Coturnix japonica: one gene and its partner. Each later gene encodes a partner of the first gene's protein in a complex. Links are inferred from orthologs where the notes say so. Each region holds a gene or a part of one and is shown on either strand. Other genes may lie near its edges. The genes, in order: APAF1 and CASP9.

The links.
Region 2: the proteins of APAF1 (region 1) and CASP9 are in contact, whole or in part, in a crystal structure (PDB 4RHW), measured with the Homo sapiens proteins. The link is inferred for Coturnix japonica from reciprocal best matches to the Homo sapiens genes APAF1 and CASP9. Residues at the interface, in NP_863651.1 of Homo sapiens: Thr22, Ser23, Tyr24, Met26, Asp27, Ile30, Ser31, Ile37, Glu40, Glu41, Arg44; in NP_001220.2 of Homo sapiens: Asp23, Trp26, Asp27, Leu30, Arg36, Pro37, His38, Glu41, Gln44, Arg45.

The regions. Positions count from the first base shown.
Region 1 is NC_029516.1:42,519,793-42,531,507, forward strand, and holds part of APAF1 (apoptotic protease-activating factor 1), read left to right. Parts: intron 1-234; coding exon 235-413; intron 414-1,121; coding exon 1,122-1,248; intron 1,249-1,811; coding exon of another isoform or gene 1,812-1,877; exon of another isoform or gene 1,878-1,903; intron 1,904-3,241; coding exon 3,242-3,367; intron 3,368-4,205; coding exon 4,206-4,337; intron 4,338-5,600; coding exon 5,601-5,726; intron 5,727-6,689; coding exon 6,690-6,851; intron 6,852-7,124; coding exon 7,125-7,253; intron 7,254-8,002; coding exon 8,003-8,128; intron 8,129-8,940; coding exon 8,941-9,060; intron 9,061-9,935; coding exon 9,936-10,061; intron 10,062-10,897; coding exon 10,898-11,023; intron 11,024-11,715. UniProt on the Homo sapiens protein: Oligomeric Apaf-1 mediates the cytochrome c-dependent autocatalytic activation of pro-caspase-9 (Apaf-3), leading to the activation of caspase-3 and apoptosis. This activation requires ATP. Isoform 6 is less effective in inducing apoptosis.
Region 2 is NC_029536.1:4,282,892-4,295,233, forward strand, and holds CASP9 (caspase-9), read left to right. Parts: upstream 1-1,607; 5' UTR 1,608-1,648; coding exon 1,649-1,780; intron 1,781-2,790; coding exon 2,791-3,004; intron 3,005-3,484; coding exon 3,485-3,565; intron 3,566-3,940; coding exon 3,941-3,972; intron 3,973-4,782; coding exon 4,783-4,959; intron 4,960-5,199; coding exon 5,200-5,289; intron 5,290-5,904; coding exon 5,905-6,052; intron 6,053-6,532; coding exon 6,533-6,712; intron 6,713-6,909; coding exon 6,910-7,019; intron 7,020-7,170; coding exon 7,171-7,263; 3' UTR 7,264-8,234; downstream 8,235-12,342. Other genes in the region: DNAJC16 (dnaJ homolog subfamily C member 16), read right to left, coding at 451-781, 1,251-1,317, 1,390-1,553; EFHD2 (EF-hand domain-containing protein D2), read right to left, coding at 10,784-10,918, 11,021-11,155, 11,245-11,392. UniProt on the Homo sapiens protein: Involved in the activation cascade of caspases responsible for apoptosis execution. Binding of caspase-9 to Apaf-1 leads to activation of the protease which then cleaves and activates effector caspases caspase-3 (CASP3) or caspase-7 (CASP7).

The DNA of each region.
Region 1 (11,715 bases):
GCTCATTGAGTAAATCATTGCTTCCGATATCCTTATTTGAAAAGTAAGGATAATACACTTTTTCTGAATAAAATAGCAAAATATTTCAGTCTGTGATAGGTACTTGGTAACAGAACTAAGGAGAACTAAATGCTTCTGCAAGAATACTGCCTGTATAGAAAATTAAAAAGCAAAGGGCACTTAGAAAATGTATCCACTTCACTAATTATCAAACACTGTCTGCTCTGTACATAGGATACCATAATACGTGAGAATTTTCAGGAATTTCTGTCTTTAAATGGGCACCTCCTTGGACGACAGCCTTTTCCTGACATTACACAGCTGGGTCTTTGCCAACCAGAGGCATCTGAGGTGTATCAACAAGCCAAGCTACGGGCTCAAAGAGAAACGGGAACATTTTACTTGGAATGGATGTAAGTAGCAATAATCCATTTGCTGATGTTTATCCCTTGATTCAACAAAATTGTTGCATACGCAACTAAACACCGCAGTGGGTAATAAAAATGTGCTATGTTTTTAACGGGAAAAGAAAGTGAACTAATTTTCAGGAGCTAATGAAAGAAAAAACAAACATGTAAAGCTACAAATTAGTAATAATTTCATAGAAATGAAGAAATATATTTACTTCTCAGTGAACATTCATTTTAAATATCTACACAAAGGTGAAAATGCGGTATTTTGAAACTTTATAATTTTTTAGAAAGATGAGAATTGTAGGGCAAATATAATGTGCATGATGCAAACTTGAAAGAGAGCACATAGGAGATCACAGCTTCAGAAAGAAGTCTGTTTGGACATGACAGATACCAGCTCATTAAGATGTTATTAGGAAGACTGTTTTGCTTTACAGTGGCTGTGCACATGAGGTGGCACGTTGGTTTCTTATGCACATTGTATCTTTCTTGGTTTCTAAGCTCTCAGCTGTTGGAGAGCACCATAAATTCTCAGTGAACTTAGGAATTGGTTTCCCTTATTTTTCATGAAGGCTGACAGATAATTTGATGTTTCAAAAGCTTGCTGCACAAAATAGATGAACAAATGCTATATTTTAAAGAGCATTTTGAATGATTAAAGATGCTGGGAGATCCTACTCCTCACAAATGAACTATCTTCTCCTGCAGAAATAAAAAATCCTTGAAAAACCTGTCCCGTCTGGTTGTTCGTCCACATAGAGATGCAGTTTACCATGCCTGCTTTTCTAGGGATAGACAAAGAATAGCATCATGTGGAGCTGATAAAACACTTCAGGTAAAAGTACCTACCTATGCATCAGCAAAGTATAATGCTGTGTGAAGTTTTGATGATGTTTGTTAATGATGCTCTTGCTTTCCTTTTGCTGTGAAGATATTAGAAATCTTGAATTATATTCAAGAGACAAGAGATAGAAAGGGTGTTACATAACACTTTTAGGCTCGAAAGTATTGTTTTGTAGTTCAATAACTATATCATTATACCATAGCATGAGAACATGCTATGAACACGAGAACATGAGATTCCTTTTAATGTTACAAAAAAGCATAAGGTTTAAGTAGTGCGTCCCACGTTTCACATTTGTTTGCAGAAATGGTATTTCCCATCTACAGTACTAAAAAACAGTGAGACATGTTTGTTAGTTCTTTACAATTTCCATGGGGTTTTAATGGATGTTTGGCGCTATGTTTGTTAATTTTGTCATGCAAAATAGAGAAATCTGGGCAGAAAAATGAGTCCTGAAAGCTGAGGGCAGCGGTAGACTGGAAAAAGGTATTCAGTTGTTAGGAAGTGAATATGGGGAGAGAGAGAGGAAGTGACTAATACAAATTTGCCAGCAGTCTGCCTGGAGGGAAGCCAGACAGCTCTCAGGAAAACTAGCAATCAGCCAGCCACTAACCTGGTAAAGTATCCATATTCCAGACAGCCAAAGGTAAGGGTAAAGAACAAGTTTTCTGCAAGCCTTTGGTATTGTTTTGGATGCTTGCTAAAGTAAAAGTATTAGTGGTCCTTAGTTGCTGTTCATTTGCCTGTGTAATGTGGTGGTGCTTACTACTTTCTTTTATTTGCTGGCTTTTACACTGTTATGGTCATGGCATCCACCCACTTAAGGAGATGCTTGGTGGCTGTGCTGAAGTTATTGTGCTGGGCTTCTGTACTTCATGGCTTCATTATTGGGACTGCTGATTCATTGTTTTTCTCTTGACTTTCTATCAAAAAAAGGGATTTTATTTTATTTTATTTATTTTATTTTATTTTTTTATTTTTTCCCCAGAGCCTACGCTAGAAGAGATAATACAAAAATTAACAATCATTTTTCATTGTTGAACTTTGATCTTAATCTTGTTTTTCCTAACAGTGACATTAAAATAAAACTAATGCCTTCAGATTTTAGACTAACCCAGAAGCAGAAATGACTGCCAAATTAAGAGCAGATATTCTGCAGAATTTACAGTAGATGTAGATTTCCTTTTGCTTTGTCGCTTTTATTTGAACAAATACCAACTATTTCATTATCACTGTTAATCCCATTTAATGAAAGAAGATCGGAAAAATAGGGATTTCACGACTGTAGCATCTTGAATGTTGCTGCAAAGAGCAAATTGTGATTTGTTAGAACAGCTGAAGATTGTTTACCCTTGAGCTGGAAAAGGTACCTTTCACCATCATTAAGATAAGCCCCAGAATTTAAGGAAAGTGGTTAATGTGCAGTGCTTCTTCCTTGCCACCCTTTCCTGCCTTGTAACCAGCTCAAAAGAGACTCCTAGCACCTTTACTTAATTATCAATTGCTGCTAAAATCCTTTATCCAACAGAAGGATATCGTATATATCAATCTGGAATTTGTACTTCTAATAACAGTGCAGATATTGTTAATAAGCTATTGTGTGGTGAAGTTATTAAAGTAGAGTAAGAAAGTACATGTATTTAGTCTTAAGGAGTACAAAAGTCTTATGTGGTAGAAGGCCTAGCTTTTGGCTCAAAGGTTATACATAGTCATTAATAAAACACATAATGCATACGGATTTTTTTTAAATTAGTTTTCACTATTTCTTTCCATAATAATTTCTATCATCTCTATAGATTTGAAGTTCAAATTAAATGTTTTCATATTACTTTCCTTGAAATTATACGTGCTTTCAGAATGCAAGCAGTTTTATGAAGAGTTTAGCTAAGGGAGCTCTTTGAGAGAAAGCAATCCTTTATTTGTGTAGCATGTTTTGAAGTTGTATGCCAGCTAAAAGATTTCATTCCTCATTGTATTTTTTCAGGTGTTTAAAGCAGAAAGTGGAGAGAGATTGCTGGAGATAAGTGCTCATGATGATGAAATACTTTGCTGCACTTTTTCTGCAGATGATAAATACGTAGCAACTTGTTCAGCTGATAAAAAGGTGAAGGTAAGTAAATGGAGAAGAGACTTTTTTGCTTATTTGTTTTGCATCATCATAATTCAGATTTCAGTTTTAGCCAACTCAGGCAGAGCAGATTCTTAGGACAGAAGGTTTTTAGTAACTGTTTTAAACCTTATGTGGATAATTCACTACTTTAAAAACAAAAGATCTCATACTTGTTATGTTAAGCATCATTTACTTATGTTAACAACATGCATACACAATTACAACTTATTTTACTTGTACTATCAGATGTTTCTTTTTATGTAAAACACAATACATGAGTCCAGTCCTGTGTGTAACATAAAATGAAGGTATCCATAAATGTTTTTCTTATATAGTGCTTTCTGTTGTATATTATTTTTCATTTTATTTTTAATTCTTCAGAACTGCACCAAAAATCTTGATGATATTCTAATCTTTCTCAGATCTAAACTATGATCCTCCTCATCCATTTGATATTTAAATTGTTCAAAATTATCTGTGAAATTTTCTATAATTAATAGTAGGCTGAAACTGAATTTTGACAAGAGCAAGTTGGTTTTATTTGGTTGCAGACACCTTGTTATAAGAACCTTTGGCTGTAGATGCCAGGTTCCAGTTCTTGTTTTGAAAAATGTGTATATCTACATCTCTGCTATTTTAGTGAAAACAATCTAAAATCACAGCTGTGTGTTAATAAATGTAACTACATGTGTTTTCCCTTTCTCTTCAAGCATTTTTATGTGTTATTAAGAGCATTTTTAGGGCTTTATTTGTATTCCAACGTGATTTAGAAATTTCATTTTTTATTAAGTACATTGAATTTATTTAAAGCTGATTTTTGTCCTTCAACTCTGTTTAGATCTGGAATTCAAGAACAGGCGAGTGTTTGTACGTATATGAAGAACACACAGAGCAGGTCAATTGCTGCCAGTTCAATAACAGAAGGGGTCAGTATCTTTTAGCCACCTGCTCAGATGACACTTACATCAAAGTAAGTTGAAAAGGCTGTGATAAGCAGTATGGGAATAATCAAAACAGAGTAATTACTGTTGTAGAAATATGCTTCAAACTCTGTAAATTAAGGTTTATAATGAGTCCAGTGGAAGAGAGACAGAAACTGATCAAGAGTACTGACAGGGCAGAACGGAAGAGGAATATTTATACTTGCGATGAAAAGTCAGCATATTTCCTATTAGCTGAGCACAAAGGTGAAGACTTCTAGAGGATGGGAATAGGAATGGGAGAGCCTGGGAATGGAATACCTGATTAAAAACCGTAAAGAAATAAAAACAAACAAACAACAGCCACAAACAATACAAAAATAGGTGCCAAATGATGAAATGAATAAATAAATAACCTAATGGAAGGGGAGCAGATATATTTTCTTATTAAATTGATTTGACATAATAAAGAAATGAAAGTAGGTGCCAACAGAATAACAGTAAATCAAAGCAAAAGATTTGTCAGGTCAGCAATCTGGCAGTACTCAGACTATGAGGCAGTATGTCTACTCAGAGCAGAAGCCATGTAAGTGAAGTGTCTGCGGAAGGAGAGGAAGTGGAAGAACAAAGGAAGACCTGGCTGTGGGTAAGGGTGGAATTTCACAGCACAAGTATGTCCAGTAATAGAAAAGAACAGTAAAATAAAAATCAGAGAGGCTGGATTTCTATTTATTTTTTTCTTTTTTTTAAAGAGAACACTGTTCAGGTAACTGTTCCTGCTTTGAATTCTCCCTGAGCAGACAAGTGAAAGGTTTGGTAGCAAAAAGGCAGTATGTGCTGTAGGCCTAGAAAGTGCGTGTGTCTGTGTGTGGCCTCTAACGCACAAATTGTTCTTTTATCTTTATTAGAGAGGACACAGTAATCCAACACTGAGTTAAGAGATTTCATTTTAGTTACTGTGTACAAGCTACGTAATTCTGAACTTTGAGACTGAAAGGAAGGAAAGAGGCTAGACAAAGTTTAATCCTCACTCTGAAGAAGCCTTTGGTAACTTTGTGCTATTTGAGGTTCTTGCATTCACTTTACAGAAAGTGTTATATAATAGTCATGGGAATCATTTTCATGCAAACTAGCATATGGAAGTAATTTGTGGGGGAACCTCAGGCATAGCTTCAAGTCTGTGAGCACGTGGGTAAAACTAAGAAACATTTTTGAGAATTTGGTTGCCGCTGTGATTTTGTGAAGAACATGTACAATCTGTCTGTGAATAATTTATGAATTTAATGACATTTACATATTTATTTCTCATGCAGCTTTGGGATCTGAAGGAGAAGTATTGTAGGAATACAATGTTTGGTCATATAAACGCCGTCAGTCACTGTAGATTTTCACCAAATGATGACTATATTGCTAGCTGCTCAACAGATGGAACAGTGAAGGTACACATCTTATTTTTTTAAATCAACTGCCTGTTTGGATGATTTTTTGGGGGTATAAAATACAAAATATGGGTGAGATAATTTTGTATTTGTGTGGTCAGTTTTCATGAATTAAACTCTGAAGCAGTTGAGTATTGTTCCCACTCTTAATGCAAGGCTTGATGAAGTTCTGTCCAGTTCCAGAAGAAGAATTGAGTGGCTGCAATTTTAAACCAATCCCACTGAGTCTCATTTTGAGTGCATTCTACTATTAATAGTAATAAAAATAAAGTATATAGTTAAGAGAACTGGTGTGGAAGGTGTTCTGAAATTTGTTTAAAGAAAAATAATAATGAAAACGACAGCCAAAAAAAACCTAGAATAGTTAAAATGTCTGTCATCTGATATTGAATAAGCAATAAAAGATATTTGTGTACTGAGGTAGTTATGTTTGTCCTTAGAACACAAGCATTGCTTTTTATTGCCTTTGACTGCAACAGAACTACCTATTTCAATACTGCAATTCATAAACGCTGATACCTTTCCATGGGGCTGCTATGTCAGTAAAGTGAGGTTGTAGTATCTGTTGTCATTCAGAAGAAAAATTTTGGTAGAGGAAACAGAAATATTCAGTAGCTCTCTGGCAGCTGCCTCAATGAAATAGGGGTACAAACTTGTATCCAGTGTACCAGGTTTCTTGTTGTGAGAGGACTTAATAGAGTTGCAGAGATGTTATTTTTGCCTTTAGTCTGTTTTTAAGTAGAAGTTAAGACAACCATCTGGGCTTGCTTGTTTCTTGTTTTCCTCACTTTCTTCCCTAAAAAGAAATTGGGAAGTGGTTCTCCCCTGTTGTATTCTGTATAGAATCATAGAATTACTCAGGTTGGAAAAGACCTCAAAGATTATCACAAAGATTATCAAGTCCAACCGTATACTCAACTGTAAAGAGAAGTTTCATGTATTTCCTTTATTTTTTTCTTGAAGCTTTGGGATGTGCGTTCAGCAAATGAACTGAAAACTATTGAGATAAAAGATTTCTTCAGGAATGCAGATGAGCACCAGGATGAAGTGGAGGTTTTAGTAAAATGTTGCTCTTGGTCCAGAAGTAGTGATACAATTCTGGTGGTAGCCAAAAATAAGCTTTTGGTAAGTATTTCATGTTAATAATTCTCTACAGGTGTAGTATGTTGCCATCTAGGTAGAATTTATGAATAATTACTGCATTATAAACTACCTAGATGTTTCAGACATAAAGTGCTTGTTTTTAAGTGCATGTTTATTAAAAAATATATAGATGATAAACATGATGAATGAGAGAAATACCTTCTACATTAAAAAATGTATACTGTTAAGTATATAAACTGTGTCTGTGGTGAAGTCATTCCAGCCCTGTGCTCAATATTATAATTACTTTCACAGCTTTTTGATGTTACAACATGTAACCTGTTAACACAAGTCATCATAAGTCATCACAGTACAATCCAGTATTGCGACTTCTGTGCTGGGGATGAGTTAGTAGCAGTTGCTTTGTCTCATTGTTCTATTGAGGTAAGTGATTTCTTTATTGCTACGATATACCAGGAAAGAGTAATACAAAGTGTTATGTTTGTTGTGGTTTTGTGTACGGAGAGGTAAAACAAAGTGGCATTTTTAATAGCTTTTCAATGTGCTTTATTCTTTACAATTATTGTTTACTTCTAAGATGTAAAATAGGAATTGGGAAATAGTGTTTTGAGATTAGGCATTCCTCTTAGAAAGCAGAACTCGGTTTTATATAAAACCACTAGGCCACTGTATGTGTTCAAAGTTATCATGTGATTATTGTCAGTCTCTAGAGTATATGCCTTCCCATCACCTAGCTCAAAACAGGCAAACAAAATACCTTCTCCTGTGTGCTGCTGCAGGATGTGGCAGTTCATGAAAGAGGAATACAACAGCTGAAATAACTTTGGGACTATCATGACTAACTAAGCATGTACAAGTATTTGGGTTTTCTGTTCTTCTTTGTTTTCTCTTTTTGCAACCTACTTGGTCAGCTCACTTGTATTTTCATAATGTGTGAGTTGTTTTTTTTGTAATTCCTCCCACATCTTTTAAACTTATTGTTGTCAGAAGCTTCTGTTTCCATGTCACTGACCATCAAATTGTCATCAACAGGCACAGTTCTTTTTACATGACAGTTGTAGAGTGAGAAGTGAGGAAAATGCTAGTAGAGGTAGTAATGAAGTATGCTTCTTTTCAGTTTTGCTTGAAATATAATCAAAATCCACTTGAGTTCTTTCCTATTTCTGCTGCAGTTATGGAATATGAAATCCTTATCAAAAGTAGCAGATTGCAGGGGACACATGAGCTGGGTTCACTGTGTGGCATTTTCCTCAGATGGATCTTTATTTCTGACATCTTCTGAGGACCAGACAATACGGGTAAGATGACTTTTTTTTTTAAAGCTGGTACTGTTTATATGTGTTTATAAAGCTAAATTATTTGTTTAAATTGTTGTTATAAAGTTAAATATTCATATATAATAATATAAAGCATTTATCATTTCAGTTATAAGTATTTAGCTTTGTATTATATAAACATACAAAAATAATTCTCTATACAGTAAAATGAACTGTCTATTTTTTTTGGTTTACGATATAGATAAATAATTTTTTAAATCCAGTGGCATTTCAGTAGTAATGATAGTTTTTAGATTTTATCTAAATTAAAAATGGGAACAGTTTTGATGGTCCTTTTGTAAACTAGCAGAGTTAATATGCCTTTCACTGTTAGATAATAAATAGATAAATATGTTAATATTTAGGGCAGATTCTTATAGTTTTTAATGAGACGATACAACTACGAAAACAGACCTACAATGTACCAAAGTAACATTTCCTTCTCTCCAAGCTAACACTTACTTTCTTGATATTTTGAAAGCAATTGAAGTATAGAAATCTATACTTGGCATTTACTGTAATAGAATTTTAACACTCTTCTTTGAAACAGAAAAGTGTGGACTTCATGGTCCTGATGCCAAATACTTAGAGGTCTGCTTGGCAGCCTGGAAAAAGAATTATTTTTTTCCATCAGTTGAAATTGCTATAGCAATTGCGCAACTTTCTGTAGTAAATAAAAAGGGCACTGTTTTAAGATAGGGGTTATTTGCTAGGTTATAAGACTTTGGTTTAAAGGTACTCAGCAAGTTTTATATCTTGTCCTTTAAAACTAATGGAACACTGTTCTTCAACAGATTTGGGAAACAAACAAGGTGTGCAAGTCTTCTGATGCTGTGCTAAAAAGTGAACTGGATGTTGTATTTCACAATGGTGAAGTCATGATTTTAGCAATTTACAATCAGAAACATATTCAGGTAAGCTATATTTCTCCATGTGTTAATATATTTGAATTTATATGTAAATCTCAGTAGGAAACAAAGCACTGAAATAACTGCCTATTCGTGACTTTCAGCAGTTGAATCTGTAGCAGATGATTCTTAATATGTTGTAAGATTTTAAATCTAGGAGCTCTGCCTCATAACAGAATAGATTTTTCACCTTTGCTCATGAAGAGAAATTGACTGAAGAGTCAAACTGTAGTTAAGCATGTGTACAGTAATTCAACTGTGTCTGCTGTCATATCTCTAAAGGTAGTTTCTCCTGTGACTGTGATGTTTAACCTTTAGTGATCTGTAGTCTCTCAGAAATGCATTCCTAGTCACCTTTTGATGTGCTTTACAATCATTTTAAATGCATCACACTGGTAGATATTTTTAGCTTATAGATTTTTTGTAAATCGTTATATTCTAAAGATCTCATCAGAATTGGTGTAAGGACAACACTTGGTTGAGATTGGTGGGCTATACCTGCTTTTAAGCTTTAAGTCATGCTTACGCTCCATTTGGCACAAGTATCTCACTGGCAAGTAGTTTTGAGCTCAGAACTCACTATATGGCTTTTGAAATTCAGGAATAACTTGTTGACTTACTGTTTTATTTGATCATGCAAACTTTTAAAAGCCTTCTGAGACTGAGCTGTGTTTCTGTCTGCAATCTTGTCCTGTTCAGACAATGATCTACAGCAGGAGTTACGCAGACCTTTAAAGCAACTGATTTGTGAAAGTATCTGGTCTAGATAAACAAAAGTTTAGAAACTGACAAACTCTTCTGTTGCTGTTCCTAGCTTTTTATTCTATTTTATTTCAGTTCAAATTTTAAAATATTATGTTAATTAATTTCCTATCTTGCAGCTCATTAATGGAAATACAGACAGCATTATCATGCAGACAGAACCTCAGGAATCCCTTATTTGCTGCTGTTGCTTAAGTGAAGATCTTAAATTTGCAGCATTTGGGCAGGAGAATGGAGCAATAAAGGTATTAAATCCTAAGCTTGATCTTGAAAATAATAGGAATCAACCTTTCTTTTTAAAGAAATGTCATTTTAGTTATTCTCTCCAATAATATTCTTTGGTATGGTACTAAAAAATTTTTATGTTTGAGTGACACTGAAATGATGGTAGTTTAAAGGTAATGCTTACAATGCAGTTTTGCATTTCATTTCACCAAGGACTGATATTTGTTGTCACCATCACAGAATGACAGAATTATAGGAACTGGAAGGGATCCCTAGAGTTCATTGAGTTCAGCACCCCTGCAATGCGGCCTCCCTAGACCAGGTTGCACAATTTGACATCAAGGCAGGTGTCTCTCCAGAGGAGACTCCACAGCCTCCCTGAGTAACCTGTTCCAGTGTGCCGTCACCATTACTGTGAAGAAGTTCTTAGACACATTTGTGCAGAACTTCCTATGCTTCAGTTTGTGGCCATTTCCCCTTGTTCTATCACCACACACTGCTGAAAAGAGTCTCATCCCTTTGCCTCCCACACCTTAGATATTTATAGACATTCATCAGATCTCCTTTGAGTCTTCTTTCTCAAGGCTGGACAGACCCAGATCACCCAGCCTTTCCTTATAGGGGAGATGCTCCAGGCCCTTTATCATCTTTGTGGCCCTCCACTGGACTCTTTCCAGGAGATCCCTGTCGTTTTTTTACCAGGTAGCCCAGAACTGGACACAAAACTCAGTCCATTGATTGAAAATGGTGTATTTACAGTCTCTTCGTATTTAAAGAGAATTTGTGTTGAGAATTTGAACTTCCTTTCCCTAAAATATGTAAAATAAATTCAATTACTGCATTTTTCTTTGTAAAGGTACTGCAGTTGTTAGATGGGAGATTTCTGGCATCCCGGGAGGCCTACAGGACATCTGTGCAGCATTGTCGATTTACCACTGATTGTCAGACTCTGATTTCAAGTGCTCATGATGCAGTCATACAGGTTTGGAAGATATTTTAAAGGGTCATATTGTACCTATTTGTAAAAATAAGTTAAAAACATTTTTTCTATTATACCTAACGTAAACTCAGTCAATGACCACTGTATATCCTGAATATGGAACCATCTTTGTTCCATGCATTTTGAATTGATTTTATGTTGCATTAGGGTAAGTTGGCATCCTTGATTCTACTGCTGCTTTGATTTCTGCTATCCTATTTATCTAATTTGCAAGTGTTACAATATCAAGTAACTTGTTGCAAAGAAACCGTAAATAAGAAGTTACTGTTTTTTGTCTGGATGTCCTCAAGTGGGATGCAGCAAATTAAAGCACCAGATGGAGAAAAGGGGCTGTAGAATCTGTAGGCCATTATTTATATTCCATAGAATAGTGAATATTATGGAGTTCTAATGCAGTACATGATAGAACCAACTCTTTTCAGATGGATGAAAAGAAATACTAATTTTCTTTGAGAATAACTCAACAGTCCTGATCATGTGAGTTTGGGATGCAATTCAGCACTGGCCAGCTATGGACTTGTCTGTACTGTGTAAGGGAATAGAACTGAAACACTTGAGTGGGCTGCTGTGTCTACCTAGTCCAATACAGAGCTGAACACAGATACTTGCAAGAAGGTTGCACTGACATAGTCTCAAGTTAATAAGCACTCCTTCTTGGCAAGGTTGATTGGCTG
Region 2 (12,342 bases), on another chromosome or scaffold:
TCCACTTGCTCTCTCCATTCCCAGCTTTCTTGTTGGCACCCCAATATATTTCCAGTATGGTTGACAAGTCCCCAGACTTCCCTTACAGCCCTGTATGGTGGTGACTTAGGTGCTGTATTCTGCTTGTTCCAAGTTCAGGACAGAGCCATACAGGATTTACACACCAGCCTTCAATCATGTGGTTATTTATTACCATGGCTGCTGGACTAAAATTAAGGAGGAAAGGCATCTTCCTCTTTTAACCTTGGGGGTGAACAACAGTGAAACCACCAGGAGCTGAAACTGTGAGTCAGAAGGAAAGCCTTGTTTATAATGCTTAGCCTCACTGATTTAGTTCTTACTAACACACAAGAGAGTGTTAACCTTGTGACCTAAACTCTGAGTCCTTCTATGGACCAGAACCTCATTCTGCAAGGAAATTCATGCTCAGCCCCAATGCTTCATCCTTACCCAGTGCCTCCAGTTCCTGAGCAACTTCCTTCCACACGGGCTCGATGTGGATGCAGCTGAAGCACCAATCCGAGGTGATTTTAATGAGGTACGGCTTCTTGAAACTATCTGGCACGATTTCATTGATGTAATGTGAAAAATGGAGCAAATACTTCTCGTCTGAGGTGTCACGTCTCTCTGAATTGAAGGGGAAGTGGAAGAAGGACTCATCAAAGTAGAAACCCTCATGGAAGTGGTGGAACTGGCGCTGCTGGTGTTGGGAATAGCCTTGGCTCTCTCCGGCATCTCCGTAGCGATCAAAGTTTGCTCTTTTTTCCTCGTTGGAGAGAATCTAGGAAGGAAATGAGTGAAGAAAGGTAACCCAGTGCAAAGAGTGAAAGGGTGACAGTGGTTATCCCTTAAGGAATGGATGTGGGAATACAAACCCACTGCAATCACAGAATCACAGAACTGTAGGGGTTGGAAGGGACCTCTAGAGATCATCGAGTCCAACCCCCCTGCCAAAGCAGGTTCCCTACACCACATCACACAGCTCGGCGTCCAGGCGGGTCTTGAATATCTCCAGAGAAGGAGATTCCAATGCCCTTGGGATGAATGCAGTAAGTACCAGCATCCAACCTGCACCATCCTATTGCTGTCACCTGTGAGCAGAGGCCAACCCCAGCTCACCACATCCTCTATTCAGGGGTTATAGGGAGCAATGAGCTCTACCCTGAGCCTCCCCTTCCCCATCCTAATACACCCCAGCTCCCACAGCAATGCCCTCATCCCCCTCCCAGCCCCCTGCAGTGCCCTCTCACCTCGTAGGCCTTGCTGATCTGGATGAACTTATCCTCAGCTCCCGGGTCCTTGTTCTTGTCCGGGTGCCTGCAGTTGGAAGGTGGAGCCGTTACCCATTGCCGTACCCCCCCACACCCCCCAGCCCGGCCCGCTCCGTACCACTGCCGTGCCAACCGCTTGTACGCCTTCTTAATGTCGGCCTGGCTGGAGGAGCGGCCCACACCCAGCACTCGGTACGGATCCCGCTCCGGTGCGGCCTGTGCCGTGATCAGCAGCAATAACAGCACCAACATCCCGGCCGGGCCCACCCGGCCCAGCTCCATGGCGGGCACCGGCCCCGGCCTCAACCCCACACCCAGCACATCCGGCCCGCCCGCCCGCCGACACCATAGCGACGCTTCCGCCTCCGGTGGCGGCCATGGAGGAGGCCCGGCGGAGCGCACTGCGGCGGGGTCGGCTGCGGCTGGTGGAGGGACTGCGGCCTGACGTGCTATGGGGGCCTCTGCGGGAACGAGGGGTGTTCACCAGCGCGATGGTGGAGGACATGCAGGTGGGCTGGGGGTACCGAGGCCTCTCGGGTCGGTGGTGGGGCCTTGTGTCCCCTCAGAACCTCTCGTCCCCTCAGTGACGGGGTTTGGGGTATCAGCTCATTTACAGGCCCAAGGGTGTCCCCTGCCCCCACAAGGCCTTTGTCAGGCTTTGAAAGGACCCGTGTGCCCCCAATCCCAAACCTTGAGGGATCCAGCATCATCTCAGCCCTGTGACAGCACCTGGGGGGTCCCTGTGTCCCTATTACCTGTAATACCTAGTCCCTGTATTACCTCAGCCTGGTGACAGAACCCCAGTGTCATATGTATCCCATGGAGTCCTGTGTCCCCACTATACCCATGACATGGCCCAGGGTACCCTATGAGGAGAGACTTAGGGAACTGGGTCTGTTTAGCCTTGAGAAAAGAAGGCTGAGAGTGGACTTGATTCAGGTTTATAAATACCTGAGGTGTGGGAGCCATAGTGGTGAGGCTGGTCTCTTTTCAGTAATGAGTGGGGACAGGACTAGGGGTAATGGGATGAAATACAGCATAGGAAGTTCCTTAATAAGAACTTCTTTACAGTGAGGGTGACGGAGCACTGGAACAGGCTGCACAGGGAGGTGGTGGAGTCTCCTTCTCTGGAGATATTTAAGACCCGCCTGGATGCCAAGCTGTGTGATGTGGTGTAGGGAGCCTGCTTTGGCAGGGGGGTTGGACTCCATGATCTCTAGAGCTCCCTTCCAACCCCTACAATTCTGTGATTCTGTGATACCCCTGTCTCCTCCACTGTCCATCTGCCTGGTGCCCTTCCCTTTGTTTCCACCTCCGTGATACTGTTAAACTGATTGAGAAGGTTTCTCTTATCCCCATGTTGATAAGCTGGGTGTATCCCCTGGTCCACTTATCCCCCAGAACCAGCAGTTCACGTTCCCTCCTGTCTCTATCTGTGGCCAATGCTGCAGTGGAAGCATCAGAGCTGAAGGGCTCAGGGAGCATCACTGAGGTTTATCCTGCCTTCCTTCCTCTGCAGAGCGCCGGCACCCGAAGGGAACAAGCACGACAGCTGGTCATTGACCTGGAGAGCCGTGGGAAGCAGGCCTTCCCTATATTCCTCTCCATCCTGAGGGACACCGGGCACGGTGACCTGGCTGACATGCTGGATGAGGGGTGCGGAAGCCCCATGTCCCCACCTGTGGATCTGAGGCCTGTGCAGCTGGAGCTGCCTGGAGAAAGGCGTGACAAAAGTAAGTAGTGAGAACGTGGTTCTTTGCATGGTGGAGTGTAGTAGCTGGGTTCCTTCTTGCTGTAGAAAGTAGGCTGTGAAGTCCTGGTTTTGTTATCCTCTGGCACAGGTCATAGTGGTGACTGTGTGACTTTGTTAGGAGGATGTTGTGCTTTCTGGTAGCAGAAGTGTTGAAGCCCCAGTTGTGCACTGGCGGCTTCCTTCTGCTTTTCACATGTAGCCTTTGTACTGCTGCACTGCAAACAGGTTTCAGTGTGGCTTTGCTACTCCTGTTCTGCCCTTTATCTGTTGGCGTGGCTCATACAGCTGTCATAAGAAACCTCACTGAACTCAGATAAAAGAAAAACAGAAGTGGTTTTGATCTGCCCTTGCAGTGGTGTAGCTGCAAGCTGTGGTCCTTAAGGGGAACAAGAGCTGCTTAATTCCAATGTAAAACTAGAAGGGGCAGAAGGAGAGAGATGACTTTCCCATGCCATTACAGGTGTGAGAACTACGGAATACTTGTCCATCCCAGTCCAAGCTGAGAGTGAGAGATTTCGGATGCCTCCAGCACCAGCCCAGGGTAAGGGTTGTCCTGCAGCCCTGAGTGAGGTCTGACAGCTCGTTGGTCAGTTCCTTGCTTGTCCTTGCACTGTGAATTGCAGACCAGTTCAGATGCATGCTAGCTGGGAGGTGACCCCAACTAAATAGTGTATGGTGTCCCAGGTGGGGATGAGCGTGTGCTTGAGGTCCAGGCTCTAACTGCTGAGACTCTTTGTGGTTTAAGAGATAAGAGCCAAATGCTGCTTCTGGTGGGTGATGGGGTGAGAAGGGGTGGGTGTCACTCACGTGTGACAGATGACAGGGCAAGGTTGATGTTAGTTCTGCGAAGAATAGGTGTAACATTTCATTGTTGAGTGCTGAGAGCTAAATCCCATTTCTCTGTGGTGTGTTGTAGGTTCAGCTGTTGACAAGAGCGACCACAGACTGGTTAGTATTCTAAATCCTCTTCTTTTCCAGTTTATTTGTCATAGTATTGGGGTTCTTTGCTGCCAGTCATTTCAGAGATTCTGCTTGCAAGGAGCTTGTGCTTTAAGAACTGAAAAGGCAGAGCAAGGCTGAAGATATTTAAGTGTTCACCCTCACGAGGCAAAGAACAGAATGTCCAAAATAAGGTCTTAGTGTGGCTTAAACTTCTTCTTAGACTGAAGAAGTCCCACAGCACAGAGCTGCTGCAGCTGGGAACAGTGCTGTGACATCCAGTCCTTGGTGCTGGGGCTGACGTGGCTGTAACCAGGGCAGTGTGCTCAGAGTGGGTCAATCCATTAGTCAGCTCCTCCTTGGGATCACACGAACCGTGCTGCAAATAACATGACATGGAGCTAAATATGGTGCTTAAGCACTTTCAAGTAAGACAGCTAGTGATTTCCTCAGGCACCAAGTCGTGTGTTGTTTATCAAGTGGTGTTTTGACTTTGTAATCACTGTGTTGGGTAACAGAAGTAGGGAAAGCAACAGTAAACATGTGCTGCAGCTTTTGCACGTTAGGAGGCTCACAGTGAAGCAGGCATTGAGCATTCAGAAACGTGTGTGCTGCCATCCTGACAGCACAGCTCGTACCTGAGGCAGGGTAGGGTGAGTGGCTGTGTTCACATGGCTGGGGTTTGGAGGGCCCTCCCAGAATTAACGTGTTGGAGTTGATGCTAAATCTGACGTATGCGTCCCACCGCACTAGATGGTGAATGCTCTGTGTTAGGAGGTGTTCAGTTGGGACTGATGAGCTCCCCTTGTTGCATGCCAGGTGTACCAGCTGCGAGCAGACCCTTGTGGGCACTGCCTGATCTTCAACAACGTCAGCTTCAGCCCAGACTCCAATCTGTCACCTCGGGCTGGCTCTGACATAGACTGTGAGAAGCTGGAGAAGCGTTTCAGGTCCTTGTGCTTCAATGTCCAGACCCTGAGGAACCTCAAAGCTCAGGTGAGGGTGGCAGGAGGAGGACCTGGTACTCCTTGAGCTGAACTGTGATTCCTTGATGTGATGCATAGGGATGATGTGAGTCTTACTCTGTGCCAATGGGTTTTGTGGTCTGTATGTGGGATGCCTGATATTGTATTTTTACTAGGCAGAAAGCAGCAGAGATCCAACTGGGTCTGACGGCAGGGCTTGGCTGTAATCTGTGGCCAGTGTGCAGTTTAAAACATGATGTTTTTTATGTAGGAAATTGATCTGGAGCTGCGGAAGCTGGCACGGCTCGACCACAGTGCCCTGGACTGCTGCCTTGTGGTCATCCTCTCCCATGGCTGCCAGGTGGGTTTGTGCTCCTCTGACATCATGGGGAATTCTTATCCTGTATCTGGGTGAAAGCAGACACAGGGTTCTCTGCTGCAATGCCTTTCCAGGGGTTGGTGGCCTTTGGTCAATCGTTGTTAGCTTTTGAATGTGGGATCTGTACCTCAGAACCAAGTGGTGTGCAAAGAGCAGAAGGAGGTGGTGCTGACCTTCATACTGTAGGACTTGAGTGCTTCCTGATTCTCTGGCTCTGCCTGAGGAGTCGTTAGCCACGACTAAGACTAATGATTACGAGATTTTGGCCTTGAGGTTGGAGGAGAAGAGATAAATCGTTCTAAAAGGGTTGTATGTTGTGTGCCCCTTGTCCTGGAGGATAAAGAATCCCGTTACTGGAGGAGGTGGAACAGGAGTTGGATCTTATTGAGAGGTTGGATTCTTGGATATTGCAGTGTCTGCTGGGAACCCCTTTGCCCTGCTGCAGTGTGCATATACAAGTATGAGGAAGTGAGATTTGATCTGGAAGCTTTATGCTAGAAAGTGATGGGAGAGAGAGAGAACACTCGTGCAGAGCTGGGTTCCCTCTGAGCTCGTCTTTCCTTCTGTGTTAACAGCTCTTGGATTTTCCTCTTCCAGACAAGCCATATTCAGTTTCCTGGAGGGATTTATGGAACAGATGGCAAAACCATTCCAATTGAAAAGATTGTGAACTATTTCAATGGGTCCCAGTGCCCGAGTTTGAGAGGAAAACCCAAACTCTTCTTCATCCAGGCCTGTGGAGGAGGTGAATCTTTGTGTTGCCAATAAGCTGTTAGGTGTGAGCAGGCTGGTTAGAACACAGTTAGGCTTTGCCTTCTTCCTTTTGTGTCTGTTGCCCTTTTATCCAGGTGTCTTGTAGCATTCCCAACCACATATTCTTACTGCTAACATGGGTTGAGTTTCAGGAGCATCTTGCAGGAGGGCAGCACGGGTGGTTTCGTTGTGCAGAGTGGGGGATGTGAGGTGGGAGGAGGGCAGTAGTGGCCCCACATCCAGGAGCATTTCACCTGTTCCTTGTGTTTAGCAATGGTTTGGGTTGGAAGGAACCTCTAGATGTTGGTTGGGAGGGCTTGGTTAGTGGGGAGCCTGATGGCTCTGACTGTAGCAGCACCATCAGAGAGCAGAAAAGCGTGGCCTTTGTTGAAGGACTTTTTCCCCTACAGTTGTTAATAGAGGATGTATGGCTGCAGAGAGTGTCAGATGTGAGTGAGAGCTTCTCTTGCAGAACAAAAGGACCAAGGATTCGAGGTGGATTTTGAATCACCCCGAGATGAAACCTGCCAAGGTTCCATAGAGTCGGATGCGATTCCTTTCCAGGCTCCATCAGGGAGTGTGGATGAGCTGGATGCTGTCGCCAGTTTGCCCACTCCTGGTGACATCTTGGTGTCCTACTCAACTTTTCCAGGTGAGATAACTGCACCAGGCAAACGTTTTACACAGGTAATTGATGCTAAACATGCTTGGCCAACACACCACCAAGCTGCTGTGCCACCAGTAGTCAGTGTCTGCTACTAAATCTAGGGGCAACCACCTTTTGGAGACAGTGTGAGATGCAGACACAGCAAGACTGTCTGCAAGAGTAATTTTCTCCTTTCTCTGAAGGTTTTGTGTCCTGGAGGGACAGGGTGAGTGGCTCATGGTATGTGGAAACCCTGGACAGCGTGCTGGAATGTTATGCCAGTTCTGAAGACCTGCTAACCATGTTAGTTCGGGTAAATGTCTTTTTTTTTCTTCATAAACCTTATTTTTTTTGTAGTGTTAGAAAGCAAGGAAGGCAATAATCAGAGGTGCCATCTGTCAGGGTAGGCAGGCAGTTTGTAAAGGGTTGTGATACTGAGCACGCAGCACACCTTCTGTTCCTAGGTATCAGACATCGTGTCCACCAAGGGGAAGTACAAGCAGATCCCGGGCTGTTTCAACTTCCTACGTAAGAAGTTCTTCTTCCTGTGCAAATGATGCTGGGGGTGTCGAGGTCCCCATCAACGTGAGGATTGTTTCCCTGTGGCTGGATGGAAGCTGTCCCTGCTGTGACTTGAACCAGCTGCTCCTGGTGGCTGTGGAGGGGTCTGTCCTGAGAAATGCAAGCTGTGAGTGCTGTCACTGGGCTGAAGTAGCCATAAGATGAGGACTGGCCTTGTCCCAACCTGCAGGGACAATCTATTGTAGGGAACATGCTTTAGCAGGTGGGTTGGGCTTGATGCTCTCCAGAGGTGCCTGACCAACCCCTATGATTCTGTCCCAGTGATAGGAAAGGGGAAGGGATGTGTGTTGGAATCCCCATTGCCAGAGTGTGCCGGCCCAGTGATCCCATTGTGGAGTGAGGGCCTCCCGCTGTGCTGTGGCTTTGCTCTCCTTCCTGGTGCGACTGCAGCGGATTGGAGGAGTCAGTGGAATTAATTGATGGAATTAATTGATGGAATCAATGGAAATAGCTGATTTGTGCAACAAGAGATTTTTCTGTTTGATTGAAACAAAAATCAAAAGGAAAAAACCAAATTCAAACCCTTTTGTTTTGTACTCAGTCTTCTGTTCTCTCTCGTGTCCTTTTTCAGTATATACATATTGTTAGCTCTAAAACAGCCTTGTTGCATTGTCACTATGACCTTCATGTATGCAGTACCCCATATATAGAGCTATAGAATATAGATGGAAAACACCTTTGGGCATTCAAACTAGAAAGTTAGGACACGTTTTAATGTTTATTGGCTGTAGATGTGGCACTGAGGGACGTGGAGGGGGTGGGTTAGGGTTGGGCTTGGTAATCTAGGAAGGACATCCCAGGTTCTGTACAGTTATTCAGCACTTTGGCTGCTAGCTGGTTTCCCTTTGGAAGGTGTTATTTGTGAGTTAGTCAGTGAATGATGTTTATGCAACTGCTGTTTTTCTAATACGCGGAGCAGTAAATGTTTCTGTCAGTCTTGTCAATAGCACAAATGCCTGTCCTGTCCTTCACCCGAATTGCAGCCCACATTGCTGGCGCACTGTAAATTAAAGAGTCTTTCCAATGTAGGAAAGATTAAAGAAATACAGAGTGTGGGCTCAGAGCCCCGGGGGCTCATCCCACTCCAGTGGAAGGGCCCTGGCTCCGCCACGTGCCCCCCCTTATGCCCCACAAATAACCACAGGGGCACACGATGCCAGTTGTTTCCCTTTATTGCACACCACGATACGTGACCTGCTCTGCTCATCCTCAGTTCTCATTGATTTTCTGCCAAAGACAAAGGGGTGAGACAGTGGTCAGACCTGCACGTGGAGAAGGACGGGGAGAACCCAACCCCAGAGCTCTGCTCTTACCTCGTTGATCCAATCGATGTAGGCAGACACCCGTGTGAACACTGTTGGTTTCTTGGCTGTGTTGCAGCCCCAGGAGGAGCCAAAGCTGACGATGCCGTGCACCTCCCACAGGCCATTGCGTTGGCAGCTCAGGGGGCCGCCCGAATCCCCCTGCCCAGACAGTGTTACATCCATACACCCCACAGCTCCCCATCTCCATCCTTCCAACCCCACCACAGCCATTGGGGATGGCCAGCAGCCCCATCACTCACGTTGCATCCCGCGACGACGCCGTCACCGCCAGCACACACCATGGAGGTCCTCACCAGGCCGCCCCACCAGTCGCTTTGTGAGCAGGTCTCGTGGTCCACCACGGGCAGCCGAGCCTGCTGCAGGACCTCCGCCAGCGGCCCATTAGCTGCAATGACAGCCTCAAGTTGCACCAATAACCAATTCTGACCCCATTCAGTTCCCTCTGTGGTCACCCTGCTTACTCGAGAGGCGTCCCCAGCCAGTGATCTCGCAAGGGTAGCCGTTCTCCAGCTCCAGCCCATTGGGTGGCAGGCAGGCAGCCTGGATGGTGTCACTCCTTTGCACTGGCTGCGACAACTTGATCAATGCGATGTCATTGCTGCAATGACAAAACCCTATAGGACACAGCCAGCCAAACCTTATAGAGCACCAACAATCAAACCCCATGGAGTGCCACCAACCATATCCTTTAGAGTCACTGCCATCCAAACCCAATGGAGAGCCACCAACCTAAGACTGTAGAGAACCACCAACCAAACCCCATAGAGAGCCACCAACCAAATCTTATAGAACACTGCCAACCATCCCCATCCCTGCCCCCCACCCCTCTCCCTGCCCCCTTTGCTGCCCTACATGATGAGGAAGGAGTTCCACTTCTCGTGCACGATGATCTTCTCCACCTCGGCCACCACCGCGCCGTCGTCCTCCACTTCCAGGTTGTGCTCGCCCAGCACCACGCGGTACGTCAGGGAGGAGCTGCCAATGGCCATCAGTGTGGGGCACACATATGGGGTGCTGTCCCCCCATGGGTTGCCCCCAACCCTACCTGATACAGTGTGCGGCCGTCAGCACCCAACTGGGGGCAATGAGGGTCCCTCCACAGGTGTGGCTCCAGGCACCATTACGGCTGTACTGCAGTGAGATCTGGACGGCCACACGGTGTCACGACGTGGTGGCCACCCGTCCCCAATGCCACCAACATTGGGATGGACCCCACATGGCACATAGACCCCCCTGACCTACCTGCCATGGCCAGCTGTGAGCACGGGCGTCCTCACCACCCACCACACGAGCTAACAGAGGTGGCACCGCTGGCTGCCCACATCCATAGGCTGTGTGACACCCAGCATGGGGACATCAGCATGGGCACAGCCCCCAGCCCCACCAACACCCCCCTCTCCGTGCCCTCACCCACCGTAGCCCAGCAGGACGGCGAGACACACAGCCCCCAGCATGGTTATAGGCTCCTCAATGTGGCAGAACCAAAGAGCCCGCTGTCTTATATGTTGGTTGTGCCACCTCCTGCCCTTGGGCACGTGGCCTTCCCCTTGGTGACAGGTGGCCAAATCCCACAGCCTGTGTGCCCTCCTTGTGCTGTTTCTTATCAGAGCAGCACAGCCCACTTGGGAACAGATACACTTGTCCCATGTACAACCCCACAGATGTGGCCCTGACCGTGTTTCCAGCCATGAAGGGACATGGGGGTCCCACTTTGCCACCCCACCTGGGTACGGGTGAGCACAACACTTCCTTAGGAAATATAATATTTATTTGGGATTTAAAAAGAAAGAAAAAGAAAACGACACAGCGAACAACACATCCATACAGCAGAATGGAAGCAGCTGTTGGGACAACACCTCGGTGGGACATCACAGTCATCGGCACAACCACTCCAGGAGGGACAGCACATCAGATACCATCCCTTGGGGTGCTTAGAGGACGGGACACACAAGAAATAAAGCTTCTCTCCCCTCGGTGGCCTTTATGGGCATCTTTCACCATGATAAACCCAAGGGGAGCCAAGGCCACCTCCAACCCAACACATTGGGCGCCTGCCTGCTCCGTGGCACCGAGCACAGTGACTGCTGCCCCCGGCTTGGCACGAGTCGTGGGCACGATGACACGCAGGGGACGGGTGATGGCGTGGTGGGGCTCCTTCCTCATGCCACAGTCACTGAGCAAACGCTGACTGCAGCTCCTTGAAGGCCGCCTTGCGCTGCTTCATCTCCTCCGCCTGCCGCCTCTTCTCCTCCTGCTCTGCACGGATCTCCTCCTCAAAGCTGCTGCCCTTGGTGACCGCCTGTGCCTGGGGATGGTGGCACGTTGTCACCCCATTGTGTGCTGTATGGTGGCACGTTGGCCATGTCCCCACCGCCCGACGGTCACTGCTGTGCCACCCAGCACTTACCTTGGCCTCGAAGAAGCTCTTGGCTCCCTTCACGCCCTCTGTTGAGACGTCGATCTCGGAGAGCCGTGCCAGAGCGTGCAGCCCGCTGTCCTCCTGCAGCTCACCCGCTGCTGCCTTGCGGAATATCAGCAGGAACTGCAGCATGGGGTGGGATATCACCATCCAGGATGTGCCATCCAGCTCCTCACCAAAGGATGAAGCCACAACCCAACCCCTGCGCTCACCTCGCGGAAGCTCAGCTTGCTGTCCAGGTCCTCATCCACCTCCTTGATCATGTTCTTCAGGCCCAGGTGGGTCTGTGGCGCTCCCAGCTTCTCCATCATCAGTTTCAGCTCCATCAGGTCAATGAAACCATCCTTCCCTGCATCGTACCTGTAAGGAGGTGGTAAATCCTCAACACAGGGCACATCCTCACTGTCACTTTGGGCTGCTGTGCCAAACCACAGCTGGTTCTATCCAACCATTAATGGTTCCCAGGAGCATCCTCAGCACTCCCTGCCCATTGAATGTGGTTTCTGGCACTGATACCCAGCAGCTTGCTGCCAAACATGCCGCCAACTCCGTACAGCAAAGGGGTCAGCCCTATATGTGCCTATAGGGCTGAGCCAGGCTCTATATGATGCACTTTTGACTTCTCCTTGCTCAGGCTGCAGGAAGCGACGTGCAGCTCTGCGGGGCTGTGACTCATTTGTCCCCGCAGCCGCAGCACGGTGCAGCTCACACTGTGCCCCAGCACAGAACCCTCGTGCTTTTCCTGCTGGCATCGTAATGCTGTGAGCTCCGCTGCTGCAAAGTGAGCCCCTGGCTGCAGCTCTGCATCCACTGGGGTGGGCTCTCCTGCGTCGCAATCCTTTAATGCAGCAGGGGAAGGCAGGAGAGAGGACAAACCTTGCACGCAGCGGCTTGGTTCAGCCCCACACCATCACCCCATCCCCATGCTCCCCCCTTTGCGACCCCCCTTTTGCTTGCAGCCCTGCAGCTGCTGTGCTGCTCCTCTCGCTGCTGTGCGTGCGTGTGTGCACGTCCTGCTCTGCAGCCAGACCCCGTGCTGCTGCCATCTGCCCACGGGCACAGCACCCACGGCCACACGCTTCACAGTGTGTCAGGCTGGGGGGAGAGGGGTTTATCCCCTCCATCTGCAGACCCTATTTTCCCCCTGCACAGTTACTGCTGCTCAGCTCCCCCCCATCTGGCTGAGCTCACTAACCCAAGCTTGCAACATCACACGTGGGGATGGCACCGAGGACGTGACAACACCACTGCCGCAGCCCAAAGCCCGTATGCATGGCCAAGGTGGGGGTCCTGGGGCTGGGGGGGTCCCA